Rattus norvegicus: one gene and its partner. The protein of the gene in region 1 interacts with the protein of each later gene in a pairwise test. Links are inferred from orthologs where the notes say so. Each region holds a gene or a part of one and is shown on either strand. Other genes may lie near its edges.

The links.
Region 2: the proteins of Zmym2 (region 1) and Foxp1 come close enough for resonance energy transfer, tested with the Homo sapiens proteins (2 studies listed by BioGRID). The link is inferred for Rattus norvegicus from reciprocal best matches to the Homo sapiens genes ZMYM2 and FOXP1.

What each region holds. Positions count from the first base shown.
Region 1 is NC_086033.1:35,204,499-35,212,857, forward strand, and holds part of Zmym2 (zinc finger MYM-type protein 2), read left to right. Parts: intron 1-1,036; coding exon 1,037-1,152; intron 1,153-1,867; coding exon 1,868-2,039; intron 2,040-4,245; coding exon 4,246-4,371; intron 4,372-5,831; coding exon 5,832-5,926; intron 5,927-7,483; coding exon 7,484-7,652; intron 7,653-8,165; coding exon 8,166-8,317; intron 8,318-8,359. UniProt on the Homo sapiens protein: Involved in the negative regulation of transcription.
Region 2 is NC_086022.1:133,134,616-133,142,974, forward strand, and holds part of Foxp1 (forkhead box protein P1), read right to left. Parts: intron 3,522-8,359; coding exon 3,320-3,521; intron 3,213-3,319; coding exon 3,133-3,212; intron 2,500-3,132; coding exon 2,398-2,499; intron 1-2,397. UniProt on the Homo sapiens protein: Transcriptional repressor. Can act with CTBP1 to synergistically repress transcription but CTPBP1 is not essential. Plays an important role in the specification and differentiation of lung epithelium.

The DNA of each region.
Region 1 (8,359 bases):
CCACTGAGCTAAATCCCCAACCCCAGTGAGTGCTTTTCTAGAGTGAAACGCTACAGGATCGGCGTGATAGGGCATCATGTCCTTTTCATCTGTGTGACTCTTTTTTTATATTTCCTTGAGAATAAAGCATATTAATCAAATTACTTGTGATCTGTTAGTCAGTGATTAAAGGTCTAGAGTATAACTTGTTAAAAACCACATAATCCTATAAAACTTTTCCTGCACTGATAGCTACAGTTGCGTGTTTCCTGTTGAGAAAATGGTTTCTTTGTGGTCTATAACAATGATAGTTTTGTTTCCTCCTGTTCAGAAAGATATTAAATAATTTAGGTACTTATTTCACATTTGTAACATTAACTATTTCTGTTCTTCATTTCCTTCTGACTTTTTCTTTTGGGATTCTGCCTTGCGGTATAGCTCAGGTTTCCCTTGAATTTAATGCTGTTGAGTACTGGGGTTACAGGAATGGACTGTTGTGCAGCTCCATGTTTGCTGCATTTAATATTTAAGTAAGTAGCCTGAGGGAATTGTCAGGACAGTGTGCTGGATATAGATGTGTACTTTTAAAGGATATATTTTCATTTTTTAAATAAGTGTTAAGTAGTATTCTAAGTTAGAATAGGTGTTGTAGAAAGCTTTTGAAGTTTATCAAATCTTATAGAAACTAGAAAATTCTTTTAAATTAGGACAAAGTTATTTTCTTTTGTTCTTAAGTTGCCAGTTAATATTGTTAATATTAATGTTAATATTGTTTGATGAAATCAGTTAACCAAAGAAACAAAAAGTCATGGTTGGTGGCTGTATGCTTTTAATTGCTCACCTAGGAAGGCAGAAGCAGGGCCATCTATTAAGTTAAGGCCAGCTTGGTCACAAACAAGTTTAAAAACCAAGAGAGTTATTATGGTGGCTCATACCTATATTCTCAGGATGTTGAGACTGAGGCAGGAGGATTGCCAGGTTAAGGCTAGCCTTTATGACATGTTTAATGATTTCTTAAAACCACCCATTGTTCTTTTCCCCATGTCTTGTTTTTCAGATGAAAATTGGAAGACAGAGTATGTCCCAGTGCCTATTCCTGTGCCTGTGTATGTCCCTGTGCCTATGCACATGTACAGCCAGAGTATTCCTGTTCCTACCACAGTCCCTGTCCCTGTACGTAGACCCTGCCCTCAGGCTAAGCTTTGCAGGCCTTTGGGAGACTAGTTTGTAGTCACTAGCTCAGTGATGCTGGCAGAGCTGTACTAGTCACGGTGACTGTGTCAAGGTTGACTTAATGGAAGGAGAATTTTTATTTTGGTTCATGGTTTAGAACTTCCTAAGAGGTTCTACCTTCTAATGGTTCCACAGCCTTTTAAAACAGCACCAGCAGCTGTTGACATTTATACCCAGTAGAAGCCATCTGTCCTTTTCTTCCATGGTTAGATTTTGTCAGCTTCTTGCTATCATTTGATTCTTTTAATATTTGTTTGCCTGGTCATCTCAGGAGTGTTAAGTTGAGCAGATGGCTGTATCTGCTGTGTCAATACTGTATTTTATATTTGAGTTTATTTTCAGAGGGAAGTTTTTTGAAGCTGTAAAGTTTAGAACCGAAACATAGACTATAGGTTCTTGAAATATTCACTTAATCACAAATCACATGTAATATTTAAAATACTATGTTTGAGCTTGACTTCTTTTCTCTTAATTTTATTTTTAAAGTATTTGTATTCTGGGATTTTCTTGTCATGGTAGGCTTCTTAGTTTTGATATTTAGTCTTGCTAAAGACTTTCTTCAATAATGTATTTATATAGTAGTAGGTCATGCATCTAATTTCAGAAACTAGCTTGTATTGTTTAGTTTGCCTAATATTAACAATGCTTTGGTTAGGTGCCCGTTCCTGTGTTTTTGCCTGCTCCATTGGAGAACAGTGAGAAGATTCCTGCCTCAGTTGAGGACCTCAAAAGCAAAGTGTCTTCAGATCCTCTTGATACAGAATTGCTTACAATGACGGATATGATGACTGAAGAGGAGGGGAAAACAGAGGCATCTAATATCAACAGTAAGCTACACTATTCAGTTTGTCAGCAAGAGGTTTGGGGGACGGGGTCTATGTATTGTCATCTTTACAATACTTAAAGGCATATCCTGTAGCAGGAAAAAGGATTATAGCAGAAATATTTTATATTAAGAAATAACACACTTTGCCTCAGTGGTTAAGAGTACTAGTTACTCTTGCAGAAGACCTGGATCTGGTTCCCAGCACCCACATATCTTTCTTTAATTCCAGTTCCAGAGATTCCCCTGCCCTCTTCTGGCCTTCACAGGCATAAGACATGCAAGTGGTGCACAGATATACATACATGTACAATACCTGTACACATAAAACAACACAATTTTTTAATAAAGAGGAATACACACTCCAACTTGAACCAGGTTTGCTCTAATGCTAAGCTTGATCTCTAGTGGAATATTTTGTTTTATTTTGAGATGGAGACTTAGAATGTGTCCGAGGCAATAAACTCTTGGCCTCAAGAAGTCTTCAGTGTCATCTTCTGAAGTAGATAAGATTACCTTTTCTTAGAAACAAAAGTTGGGTGGGTTTGTTTGTTTGTTTGTTTTGGTAAGATTTCTTTATGTGTTTGAGAGTTGCATGTGTGTATGCCTGGCACTTGTGGAGTTCAGAAGATAGAGCATTATATCCTTTGAAAATGGAGTTATAGATTATGAGCCACCATGTAAGGGCTGGGAACTGAACTTTGGTCCTTTGCAAGAGCAGCCATTGCTTCTAATTCACTCACTCCCTATTTTTTTATTTTGTTTTGTTTTAATAGTAATAGGATTTGAATTCAGTTCAGTTATTTTTCTTAGGTTTCTAAGATTTTATTTTGTGATCGTTATTTCTAGTAATATTTTATTTTTTATACTAATCAAATATAATTTGCTTTATTATATTTATATTATATTTATCTAAACCAGAATTTTTCCTACTTTCTTTTAGGACACTGCTACATAGTGGTGTGATTTAATATGAGTGTTTTGTTGGGCAACTCTGTCCTTTTGAACATTTATTCCTTCCTATCCGTAGTCTTCTGGTAATATTTAGAATCCATTTTTAGTCCTGAACTGTCTAATTGCTTTTATACCAGAAGAAAAGTGTAGAAGTTGTTTTGCAGTATTCTCAGAGGTTGTCAAATGAAGTGGATTGTACTTAGTGGTATGATTTTTGTTGTTGTTTGTTTGTTTGTTTGTTTTTTGAGACAGGGTTTCTTTGTCTAATCTTGGCTGTCCTGGAATTAGTGCTGTAGACTAGGCTGGCCTGGATCTCATAGAGATCCCTTTGTCTCTACTTCCCAAGTGCTGGGGTTAGAGGCATGTGCCACCACCACCTAGTGTGGTGTTCATTTTTAATTAAGAATAAAATACAGACACCCACTTAGTCCCTGCGCTCAGGTGTTGGAACGTGAGTTCTAGGTGTGTCCAGTATATGACACTACATACCTCATGGGAAAAAGAATGGGAAGCCATGTCTGAATCCTTCAGAGAAGAGTTAGGTGGGTTTGTGAACGCCTTTGTTTCCTAATTATATACGTTTGTCTTAATTTCTGTCTGGAGACCTATTGTCATTCTAGTATATATTAGATAGAATGCATTTATAACTACGGCAAAACAGTTAAACAGTTCATCGAAACATATGGTAGCTATTAACAAGCATATACTAAGTATGTGTAAACTTGGTCAAAATTCAAAAATACTGTTTGAAAACCATAGTTGTTTATTTCCATAAGTTTATTTCTGATAAAGAATTGTTTTATGAATATTGACATGGGGAAATGGCCCACTCAGTAAAGTGCCTGCCATATAAGAATGAGATGAGAACCTGAATTTGGATCCTCCGAACCTATTTAAAAGATCAGGCACAGTGGCTTGTGTCTAACCCTAGTGTGAATTGACAGATTAGGAAGGGAAGATGGATCCATCAAACAAAGAAAAACACAGGACTCTGGTCAGCCTCTGGTCTCCACATGCATTCCTGTCTGGAAGCACTTACATCACACTGGCAAGTAATGTATGTGTCCTCCCCACCCCCACCACACACACACACACACACACACACACACACACACACACACACACACACACACACACACACACGGGAGTTGTTTTATATTAACTTTTCTACTTTTTCCTTTGGGAGCTTAAGTACAGATACTATTAAGTTTTTTTTTTTTAATTTGATTTCTAATGATATTATTGCTTGGTTACAGGTGTAATTATTGAGACAGACATAATTGGCTCAGATCTTACAAAGAACTCTGACTCAGATATACAATCCAACATGCCCGATGTACCATATGAACCAGATTTGGATATTGAAATAGATTTCCCCAGAGGTACTTAAATACTACTTTATCATTATTAAATCAAGTTATATGGTTGTATTTAAGGTAATTGATCAACAGTGTTAGTAAAATTACCTCTTATCCTCATAATTGTTTCTTTTTTCCGTGTGTCCTTTGTAGTGGAGGATGCTGCATGTACTTTTCCACTTAGCTACATTCTTCCTCCTTTTCTTTTTTATTTCTCCAAATAAAACTGAATTAATTGCAGGAACTTTAGAAACTAGAGAAGAATACAATACTTGTATTTTTTCAATTCAGAGGTATTGATAGTATTAGCGTAGAGGTAGGAATCATGATAGGGTTTTGCTATATAATTCAGACTGGCCCCCAACTCAAAGCATGCCTTCTCCCAGCCTCTCATGCTGGGATTATAGGTACGTGTCAAATGTATAGCTTGGTAGCATTTTTCTTAATGTTCTTGAAAGTTAAATTCATATTTAAAGGAAAAGAAATACATTTACTTCTTTAACAGATGTATGCTCAGGGCTGGAGAGATGGCTCAGTGGTTAAGAGCACTGACTGCTCTTCCAGAGGTCCTGAGTTCAAATCCCAGCAACCACATGGTGGCTCACAACCATCTGTAATCAGATCTGATGCCCTCTTCTGGTGTGTCTGAGGACAGTGGCAGTGCACTCATACATAAAGTAAATCTTTAAAATAAAAAAAGAGAGCGACACGCTCCCTTTCGCTGCTGGTTAGTGCAGATGAAGTGTAGACGTCTTCCGTCTCATACATAAAGTAAATCTTTAAAATAAAAAAAGAGAGCGACACGCTCCCTTTCGCTGCTGGTTAGTGCAGATGAAGTGTAGACGTCTTCCGTCTCGTCCGTCCGGATAGCTTGGCATGCTCTACAGTCCCAGCCCTGGGAGACGGGGGCAGAACTTAAGTTAAGGGCAGCTACTGTCAGGTTGTGAGGTCAGTCTGATTTAATTAATAAGGGTCCGTCTCAAAAAAGACAAGTGTTTGAAAGCCTTGTGATAGTACATTCCTGCAGTCCTGTTGCTAAGGTAGGAGGGTTGTGAAGTGTAGACTCTGTAAAGTAGGTTCCAGGCCACAGACAGACAAATGTGTTCCTGTTCTCATTTTCCCCTAATTTATAAATTCCTACTGAATGAAGTGTAAAGCATTCTACGAAAAAGACAAGAGATTGAACAAGATTGGCACTTTTAGATCTTCTAACTAGTTTTATAGTTGTTTTCCTTTTTCTAGTATCATACAGTTCTGTGATGCTTCTGTACTGATTGATACTTGCTACATTTGGTTTTTAGTTTATCAAATAGTTTAGCAAAACTCAACACCATGTTAAGTATGAGTCTCCCTGTGCCTCGCCTCGCTGAGACTTACCCCATGTCTGGATGATCCTTCATGTCACGGGACTCTTTATTGGCCGTGTTTATGTAGCAGAATCTTGTACTGTTATATTTGAAGTAAGATATTTTCTAATTTGTCAGCTGCAGAGGAACTTGATATGGAAAATGAGTTTTTATTACCACCAGTTTTTGGGGAAGAATATGAGGAGCAGCCCAGACCTCGATCTAAAAAAAAGGTATAGAATTTGTTAATGTTTTATATTTTTTATTCATTTAACATCGCTGTAGCAGCATGTCAGAGAAAGATGCTTTGGGGATATCTTGGGCCTGACAATATGGGGAGATAGATATTAAATTCATCTTAATATAATGTCAAAATGGAAAATAGTTGACATAAAAAGAAAATTCAACTCAGACAATAACAAAGATTATTTTCTGAGTGAGCATGGTGGCACATAGCTATAACCACTGCATTTGTCTCAATGGAAAGGAGAAAGGAGAAGGGGTTGGTGATTTTCAGTGGATTAAATTTCTCATCAGTTTGGATGAGGTTAATTAATGAAGAGAGATGTAGTTTATTTTTAAGCATGCCAACACAGAGAGGAAGACATTTGGGGAACTAGGGATGCAGCTCAGTTGGTAGAATGTTTGCCTACTGTGTAGGAGGCCCTGGACTGGAGGCCCTGGATTTGATTCCCAGCTCTGTATAAACTGGGTGTAATTCTAGCCAGAGAGGCTATAGGATCAGCAGTTCATAGCCCGCTTGAAATAAATGTTACACTGTTACACACACACACACACACACACACACACACACACACACACATGGACGCGCGCACGCGAGGGAGGGAAGGAGGAAGGACCAAGTGCAAAAGAAGAAGAAAGAAAAACTAGGTATGTATTAGACAGTGATCATTTAGACATACAGAATTAAATTTGTTTAATATTCTATCAAATAAACTTTCTGTTTCTGACTTCCAACATAAGACAAGATGAAAAGACACTAAGAAAAGGACTTTCATAAATTTGTCTCAGGGAAGAAAACTTAAAGTAAAGGACTATGTACAGTGAGATGAGGTGAACTCTGAGGTGTCAACACTGTATAGAGCCATGAACTCACATGGGTCCTAGTCCTAAATGTTCGAGCACAGGGAGTTGGAGACCATCTGGCTACATACTGGGGCCCTTTCCAAAAGGACGAGCACCCGTACCACCGGGTACTCAAAGAAGGGACTGAGGTGACCGAGGCACTGTGATCGCCTAGCATGTGAATGGTGCTGGACTTGACCCTCAGCACCAAAAAGAAACAAGTAAAGAGGAGATTTCTGTGTTCTTTTTTGTTATTGCTTTGTTATTTTTAAGACACGGTTTCTCTTTGTAGTCCTGTCTGTCCTGGAGCTCATTCTGTAGACCAGGCTGGTCTGTTAAAGCCAGAGATCCACCTACCTCTGCTTCCCGTGTGCTAGGATTAGGGGCATGTGCCGCCACTGCTGCCTCAGAGTAAATTTCTTATATGTTGAAGCTATTAAAAAGTTCTTCAGTCTCAAGCTGACGTTTAGAATCGTTTTTATTTTATATTTTTTCTTTATTATATGAAAATGATTTGTTTACAAACATTTATGGTATATTGGATTTCAAGAAGCAGTATCGAGAACTATTACCGCTGTATACTACTGTAATGATAATTAGCTCTCAGAGTACCAACCAGCAGTTTTTTTAGGTTGCCTTTGTTTAGGATTACATGAAATAATGGAGTCTTAGAGAAAGGATTTACAGTGTTATTTTATTACCAGGGAACCAAGAGGAAAGCTGTATCAGGATATCAATCTCACGACGACAGTTCTGACAATTCAGAGTGCAGCTTTCCTTTCAAGTATACGTATGGTGTAAATGCATGGAAACACTGGGTCAAAACGAGGCAGCTTGATGAAGATCTTCTGGAATTAGATGAGCTAAAGTCCTGTAAGTGTTTTGGTTTTGTCATCTCAAGTTCTGCTTAAAAAAGTCTGTTTCCATATTTAATTGCCTTTGATATTTTTCTTTTAATTTCTTATTTTTTTCACATATTACTTAATGTATATGAGTGTTTTGACTACATGCCTGGTGCCTACCAAGGCCAGAAGAGGATGTTGGATTTCCTGGAATTGAAGTTACAGAAAGTTGTGAGCTGCCATGTGGGTGCTGAGACTCAACCTGGGTCCTCTGGAAGAGGAGCCCTTGAATTAACTAATGAATCTTCTCTCCAATTCCATGATTCAGTTTTAATTTATATCTTATGTGTGCATGTCTATGATGTGTCTATGAATGTATTTTGTGTGTGGAGAGAGAGAGAGAGAGAGCGCCCATGCCTGTCTGCCCACCAGTGGAAGCCAAAATAAGACACTATAGTTAAAGCTGGAATTATAGGCAGTCGAGAATTTGTGCTGCATAAGTGTACAGACATAATAGTTAATGATAATTTTTATTTCTTTTTAGCCAAATCAGTAAAGTTAAAAGAAGATCTACTCTCTCATACTACAGCTGAGCTCAACTATGGCTTAGCCCATTTTGTCAATGAGATCCGACGACCAAATGGAGAGAATTATGCCCCTGACAGCATCTATTATCTCTGCCTTGGAATACAGGAGGTGAGCATCCATGTATGATATTACTAAGAGTAGTTGTACAGT
Region 2 (8,359 bases), on another chromosome or scaffold:
CAGCCATGAAGCAAGGCCTTAGCTTCCAGAGTATTTGTGAACATTGGCAATTACTTGGAGAAGCAACTTTAACTAATTGAGCATATGCCAAGAACTTAACAAGCAGGGCTCTCAGTGGCAAAACAACTATATTCCCGCAGTAGGTTTCTACATTTCTTATGTTTAAAAGTCATTGTTGGGCATTGCCGAGTGGGATCCTTCATATCTAACAAAAAGGATACTCTTAATTCAAGTGCAGAGAGGCTCTAAATGTCTCATATTTTCAGGGAAATCCACAACCCTGACTGGATAACCAAACTGGATACACTTCAGTCTTGCCTGACACAATGATGGACTTGAGACTATTACAACTGACTAGTGGCAGCTTTTGTTTTGTTTCGTTTGTTTTTTCACACAGAGTAAGTGGCTTGGGGAAGGCAGAGGCAGCTGACACATGTATTGAGATTTTGGCACCTTATGTAAGCCCTCACTTGAACCTAGCATTGTATTGTTCAGACAAGCTACATTCTTCTCCTACAGTAATTTGCTTTCTTGGTGACAAATCTTGAAACTCTCAGAGGTCTCTCAGATTTCTGGGAAACAATGATTGGTGACTAATCAGGTTACCTAAAAGTTATTCTTCTCTGTGATACACTACTTAGAGGATAAGGGGACACATCTTTATTACTTCTATAACAATCTGCTCACCAGTGGACTCCACAGAATGAGCTCCTAGGGGACTCTGAGGACAGCTGGAAGTAGGCTCCTGATACTGTCATGACTGGCAAAGGCTATGCTTAAAAACAAAGCTCTACACAGGTAAACCGGACCTAGCTTTTAAGGAAACAAATTCTTCTTTAGATTGCTTGGGGAACTATCCCTTCCAATATCATGGAGGAGACAGAAGAAAAGATTTTGCACTTCCCTTGCAAAATCAAGAGAGCACATGTGCACCCGTGAGGGAGACACCTGGGGAGAAAAGCGGTGTCAATCACCGAAGTATCAAAATGCACAAAAAAAAATCCAAAGACTCCAGGGGCTAATCCTGAGCAAAGGTGATTTAGAGGGCTCTGCATATTAAAAAAGAAAGCAACTAAAAATCCAGAGGTTTTAAAAAGAAAAAAAGGATCAGCAAGTGACACCATCCCACTTTTGTCTTTCGGATCATTGTCCCGGTAAGGACACACAGAAAAACTGTCTGCTGAGTACTTCGTGTGGGGCTGTCTGTATTAGTGACACTTCTGCCTTTACTTTGCAAAGCTGGAAAAGTGAGGTTTGAGTTTGAAATTCACATCCACAACTGGTAGTTATTTTGAAATGTGGTCATTTGGTATTTATAAAGAGCAATTTGGAGGAAAATGTCTTCTTTACGCTTCTCCTTCCTAAATTTTTAAAAGTTTTGTAGCTAAAGAGTCATTGTATTTTATCTCCTGAGGCAGGAGACTGAAATGAAGCTAAGACCTGCAGTATAATTTCCTGTCAGCCCCCATGTGGCTAATGAATTAATTCTGTGCCTATACTAATTTTCTTATAGAATCTTAGGAGGAAAAACAAAACATATTTCTTCCTATTAAGTCAAGGAGGTAGAGTCCCATAGAAGAGTACCTGTTGCATTGAGACTATGGATAAGGACACATCTTTAATGCCAGGCAGCACTGAACAGATCTACTCGGCACTATGTGATAAATTCAAACCAGGAAGCTGAGCGAAGGTGTCAAAGGCTATCTATGTAGCCCTGCCTGGCTTTGTACCCAAAATCTCCCTACTTCTCAAATGCTGGGATGCCTGGCACGCACCACCATGCCTAGGCAAGGAGGCTTAACGGAACACAGAATCAATGCTAATGAAACTTAGAAGGGACTCCAAGTGTCTACAGGGTTATCTAGTGGGGAGGTCTGGCAGCTGACCTGGTCTATGGCAGATAGCAGCACATTACATAGTTCTGAAACTACCCTTCTTTCTTGGGGTAACCATGAACCCACTCTTATAATTGATACCTTGCATCCGGCAGAAATCACCCTTTCTGCTGTGTGAGTACATGGATTACACAGCTTCCTCTACTTGTGGGGCGGATGAGCTTTGATCTAACCACTGAAGGATCTTACTCAGCTTGGCTCCTAGTTACGCCCCTGAAAATGACTGTCGGTTACCCATGGTTTATGGAAGTGATAGGGCCAACCTCAGAGTTAAGGGTGGCAATGTCAACTCCCTTCCCTATGCAGAATTCTCCGGCAAATCCAGCCACACCTTTCTTGCAGGGGCTGGGGCTCCTCCATCTGAACACTTCAGTCGCAATGAAATGCTTCTCCTAGTCACATTCCCAGTGCAAGGGGAATATTCTTGTTGCCCAGTAACTGGATTTTTCTCCACAAGATTCTCTCATCTATAAAGGTCAAAATTCAAGACTGCAAAGCTTACCTTCCACGTGGCTGCATTGCGTCGGAAGTAAGCAAACATTCGTGTGAACCAGTTATAGATTTCGTTTAGTGTTAGCTGCTTTTCTGGAGATTCAAGAATGGCCTGTGAGGCAAGAATCCGAAGAAAGTAATTTATAATCCAGTAACTAGGAACATTCGACGGTGCTCATGAAACTGTGGAAAACCAAAACCAAAACCAAACCAAACCCAAAAATCCCAGAACTGTAATTTAGAGCAAACTCCTCAGACAGGTTTCACAAAATGATCGAAGATTAACAATTGTCTTTAAATGGTTCAATAGCAAAACTTGAAATGGAATTATCTAATTGTTTGGAGTTTTTATTTCTGTTTCCGTACAGAAATATTAATTTATTAGTCATTCATAAAGCAGAATCAAAGAGAAATGCAAAACATTTCACTAGCTGATTAAAGCTCAGTAATTATTTAGAGCTCAGATTAATTCTAGGGATCAGAGATTACTGTAGCTTTGTGATAATTGACTTGCCATCTTTAAACAGCCTCATTCTCACTGTTGTGTGAAATGAATTCCCTAATAATCACATCGTATTGTAATACTTAATCAAAAGCAATTATGTTATATATTGCAGTTTTTAAAATCCTTATAGAAAAGGTTTGAGCATGCTTGCATACTAAGTGGTTTTAAATCTACTTCATCAATATAATATACCCACATACACCTTTTGATAGCATTTCACGGTCCCTGTTATTTACTTACCTGCCTAATTAAAGATGCATATGTAAATGGTGGTCTAACTTCCGCGTTCTTATAAAATTCTTGGTTCTGCGCAATATCTGCTAAATAAGAATCATTGTCCTATTAATGATCACTTTTTAAAAAGGGGCTCATCGACAGGAACTGCAGATTCCCCATGCTGCCCCGGGCAAAGACAGAGAGTAGCTACCTGAAGAAATGGGCACGTTGTATTTGTCTGAGTACCGCCTGCGGATAGGTCCCACCGTGTGCATGCTGGTGGTGGTGATGACAGAGGGGCCTTGGGTGACGGGAGTCAGGGGGGCGGTTGGGGTTGTTGGAGTATGAGGTAAGCTCTGTGGAGAAGCCTCTGAGGCGGACTTGGAGAGGGTGACACTTGATACCAGATTCAGCTGTGAGAAGAAGGATATTGGTTAGAAGGTCTTGAGAAAAGCAAAAAGAAAAAGAAAAAAAAAAAAAAAACCAAATAGCTACAGAAACTCGAGCAGCCGTGAAAACCTCTCTTGTCCCAGAGGAAAGACTGGGGCGCACCTGGTGAGGGTTACCTCTCCAAATCGGTATGTTTACACGGGACGCACTTTCAGTTAGAGGGATTCTCCCTTGCACAGCAGCAAGGCTGGGGACCAAAGGAACACCAGCTGAGCTACAGTGGCCGGAAGCTGGTTTCTGCAGTGGCGTGCAGTGGTTTCTGGTCTCAGCCACGTACTGCCACGACTGCAAGGCTGCGGTGGGTGATTTTTTTTTTTTTAACCTTAAGATTGCAATGGATTTACTAAGAGGCCACACAGGGTTCTGAGACACTACTACTGAGACCAGCAAGAAATTCTGGGACTCAAGTCCACCGCGTGATTGAACACGCCACGGGGCTGTGGGTGATGGACTTGTGACTTCTGCTCAGCAGTGGCTCTTACCGTGGAGGCAGCCGTCTGTTTCTATAAAGTTGCAATATTTGGTTGCTTAAAAGTTTTAAACAGTCCAACTATGGAAGCGGATGGCTTCTGAAGCACCGTGGGGCAGTATTAAGGAATGCCTCCCCTTCCTTCTGTGCTATTGCACTCTTCCTTACCATTCTCACACTACCTGAAGGGATGAGTCTTCTCTAAAACTGACTGGGACCAGAAAAGCCCCTTGAGTTGGACAAGAACCTAGTGGTTTTCCTCATGTTTATGGAGATATCAAGTACTTCAGAGAGCCCCTCCCAAGCCCCAGAAACATCTATAAAGTACGCTGTCACTCGGCCGACATTTTATCATGCTGCATTTCCAGTCAGCTGCCATGATGTCTCTTGCCACCATCAGATTAAGCACAAGTGTTCTTTGTGGATGGTGTACTGGGAAGACGCCACTTAGACTCGCACAGTAGGAATGCACAAGACTACCCTGTGCAGTAAGTTCCAAAGGAAGAGAGAGGAAGGACCTGATGCCATGAAAGGAACATTACCAGAAAAACCCAGATTTGGTACTCAGAGCCAAATGGTGGGCTTTTCTGTGTTCAGTCTGAGATACTGACTCAGCACAGCATGCGCCCCCAGTGTCGAGAACAGCAAGCTGGGGCACACTCTCGCTGACCTTCAGCAAGCAGGGGCAATGTGGTAAGCTGTCCTCCCAATGGAGCCAGAAAGCCGACCGTGACACACATTTGCAAACCAAGTGCTAACAGTTCGGAGTAAAGACCAGGGACAGGGCAGGGCAAGATGCCATCAGGGAAGAGCAAAGGCTGACCCCTTCTTCCCCTCAGGCCTTAACAAGTGCCCAAGGCTGGCAATCTGCTGAAGTTGGAGGGCGTCAGGAAATTAGTGTAGAAAGATCCTAAATATATAGGTTTGATCCTTCAGATGCTATAAACCTGAGCATGAGGAGACTTTGGAAAGCCACAGATATCTTTCATAAAAATACATCCTCTCAAACACCTGCTCTGAGAGGCGTCGTTTCATTCACACAGTCCTACAAACTACTCGTGTTTTACAAAGACTGAAAAGGAAGCTTGTCCGTATTCTTGACTCAGACCCAAAGTCAATCCACGTTCTTGTATGGTCCTACAGCCTCTGCCCCCTCTACTTATGCCCAGTTAATGTCTAAATGAATGCTATAAACATCTCCACCTCTCAGTTACGCTTGCTTCTGGAAAAGCTCCGGTGAACAGCTTTTATCCTTGCTCATGAATGACACTCAATAAATATTACCAAGAACTTCCACAGGCTTGGAAGCAGAACTAAACCACAGAACTGCTGTCCTTGAAGTGCTTACTGTCAAAAGCAGATGTAAAACCCAGGCAGTTTCTCTGAGGTCTCACCCTAGATCCCGATTTCTCCTTCTAGCCTAAGAACATTATCTCAATGCCCCCTACCAGTTCTGAAAGAAGTTCGGCAAGTCCTATGTGACCATTCAGCAGGTACAAGCTGTCATTTTGAATACTCAGATCTGAGAAGAAACTGGTGAACCCACACACAGAGACATGCCACTAGATGTGCAAAGAATTGGACTCCTGCAGCTTTTCTATGGGGTTTAATAATGCTTGGATCTGTTCTGCCCCAGACAGCAACAATGAAAAAAACAGATCCTTCAAGGTTGGCACAAGACGGGAAGACAGCAATGCAGGCTGAATTTTCTGGATGCTTTTGAATGTAGGTAGGAACTGGAAATAAACATTGAGCCTGAAGAGAGGGTTTACTAGGCTTGACAAATGACACCGTGATTCACACCCACTGCTGGGCTGTCTCTAATAAGCCACAGAGGAAGCGGCCAATCTCAGCTAATTACCAGATAAAAATGTATTGTAAGGACTCTAATTAGGAGATGCGGACGGAGGTGATCTAATGATTAAATGGTACATTCGACTGACCCCACCATGGATGTGCAGTGGTGCACAATGTCGCTGGAATATTTTGTAGAAACAGTAATTTTATTTCGGGGAGGGAGACAGTAATATTTGTAATGATGGCTATGAGGTAAACTAATTAAAAGACAGTTCCTAGAGGAAAGGGGTGTCTGGGAACAGCTGCGGCCATTCCAAACCCAAGTGCCAAGTCTCAATGGAAGAGCTTCAGTCAAGTGGAAAATTTCTGCCTGACCTCTGCCCTTGCTATTAATTTGCAGAAAAACTAATGACACATATACATATTCCCACAAAATTGTTCTAATTGCTAATTTGCCAAAGGAGCCCGGATTCTAAATTAAACATGACTGTAGCCTGCAAGGGAAGAAGAAGATGCTGGGAACTCCAAACAGAGGGAGCTTTGCTACGCAAGACCATCAGAAGGCTGGACCAACCCGCTAATGAGACACAACCCTGGCGGCTGCTGTGCAAGTTCCTCAACTTTTAAACTTCTGTCTGGCAGTCATATGTGCGCGTGTGTCCCGGGGAGAAAAGGTTGGGTAGGGAGGCTACCCAAGGATTCGAAAGACACTGAGCTCACATAAAGCCTGTTCTTACCATGAAGGACCCTACCAAGAATGTTGAAAACAAAAATCGCCAGTCTTACCACAAGCTTAAAGAACAAACTAGGGTGCTGAGGGGATGACTCAGTCAGGAAAGAGCTCGCCTGAGGAGGAGGACTGGAGCGCAAGTCCTCAGCAAGGCGCTGTGATGGTCAACACCTATAAGGTCAGCCCTCAGAAGGCAGGGACAGGAGGACTCTTGGGGACTTTTTGGTAAGAAACAGCCTAGCCGAATCGGCACTCCAGGCTCAGTGAGAGATTGTATCTCAAAAAATAAGGTGGGGGAATGACTGAAGAGTACATGGGACACTGACCCCCCCCCATATACATGTCTGTGTGCCCACACAGGTACAGATAAAAGAGCAAATCACTGGGACCGGTTTGCCCCCCCCCCCCAATTACCTTGAAATATGTATCTTAATGGTAAATTATTAAATCTTTATCCAATCACCAATAAGAAAGGAAAGCCTTGATGGTTTGTGTTTCTGAGTAAGGTTTTAAAAGAGATTTTGTTTTCTGGGGCATGGGGCCGGAAGGGATAGGGGCCGGGAGGGTTTCTTCCCCTGACGGAAAGCCCGATTTTCTCATTGTGATCACTTTCTATTGAAGAAAAGGTTGCTATGTTTAGAAAAGCTAGTAACGCAGATATTTTTCTCTATGGCAAGTTGCCACTGAAGGGATGATTTCAGCAAAGATAATCTCTTTCAAACGCTGGCCAGGAGCTAAATTCTGATGTCACTTAAAGTTGCTGCAGGCTTTTGGTTTTTAAGTAAAAATACCAATGACTGTGCTATCAAGCCTTTTTTTTTTTTTTACCATGGTTTGGTTACTGAAGGACTTTTCTTGGGACCTTCTACCACTGAAACTATCCCGTCAGCATCCCAATATCGCACTTTGTCCTTCCTAAAAATAAAAATCAGCCTTCAGTTTTTCTACAGCACATTTCCCTCCCTTGCAAGGATGGTGAGTCACTCGGATTTAAAAAATAATAAACAAACAAACCGCTGGTGTAAACCCCAGACAGAAACTGACTTGCCAGGGAGTATTCCCACAAGAACTTTTTGTTTTGTTTTGTTTTTTTGTTTGTGCTCTTGCTTCTCATGAAAACAGATTCTGAGAACAAAAGAAAAACCTGAAACCAAAACACCAGAGGCCAGGGCTGCACAGAAGGGACTGTGGGCTCGCCGAACTGGTTTCTCTGCTGTTGGCTGAGTGGGCCCGAGCGGCTCAGGTCCTGCCCCACCTGCAATGCTCAGAGACTGGAAGCTGCCTCTGTTGGCATGAATCACCAAGTTCAGCCCCCATGGACAGAGGGCAGGGCAGTGGGTGGCAGAGGAGAGGCCTTTTGAGGGGACTCTGTGCACTGATGGGAGAGCGGCTTATTCTACAGACTCAGAGGGTGGCATTTCTGGCAGGGACAGGGACAACAAACCTGAGGTGAGGAAGGGGACTTAACAAAACCGGTCTATAAAACGGCTTTTGTGTGCCGAGTGTGAGAGTTCCTCTTTGTGACAGTCTGCCATCACTGCTCCAAGGCTCCTGCAGCCCACACCTGATCACCCAGCCCTTGAAGTTCACGGGCTTTTTTTTTTGAAAGGGTAGAGGGAGCACTCTGTTTTGATAGGAGCTAAAAGCTATTTCAAAACAGTCCTAATTGCCAGAGTTGGAGTCTAAGGGGATGTACAAAGGGGTAAAAATCTCGAGCTGCATTTCACTCCAACAGTGTGCTGTGAATTTTTTCATAAAGTAGTCTCCTCTGCCTGTGCTGTAGTTACTTGCCCACCAAATCTCAA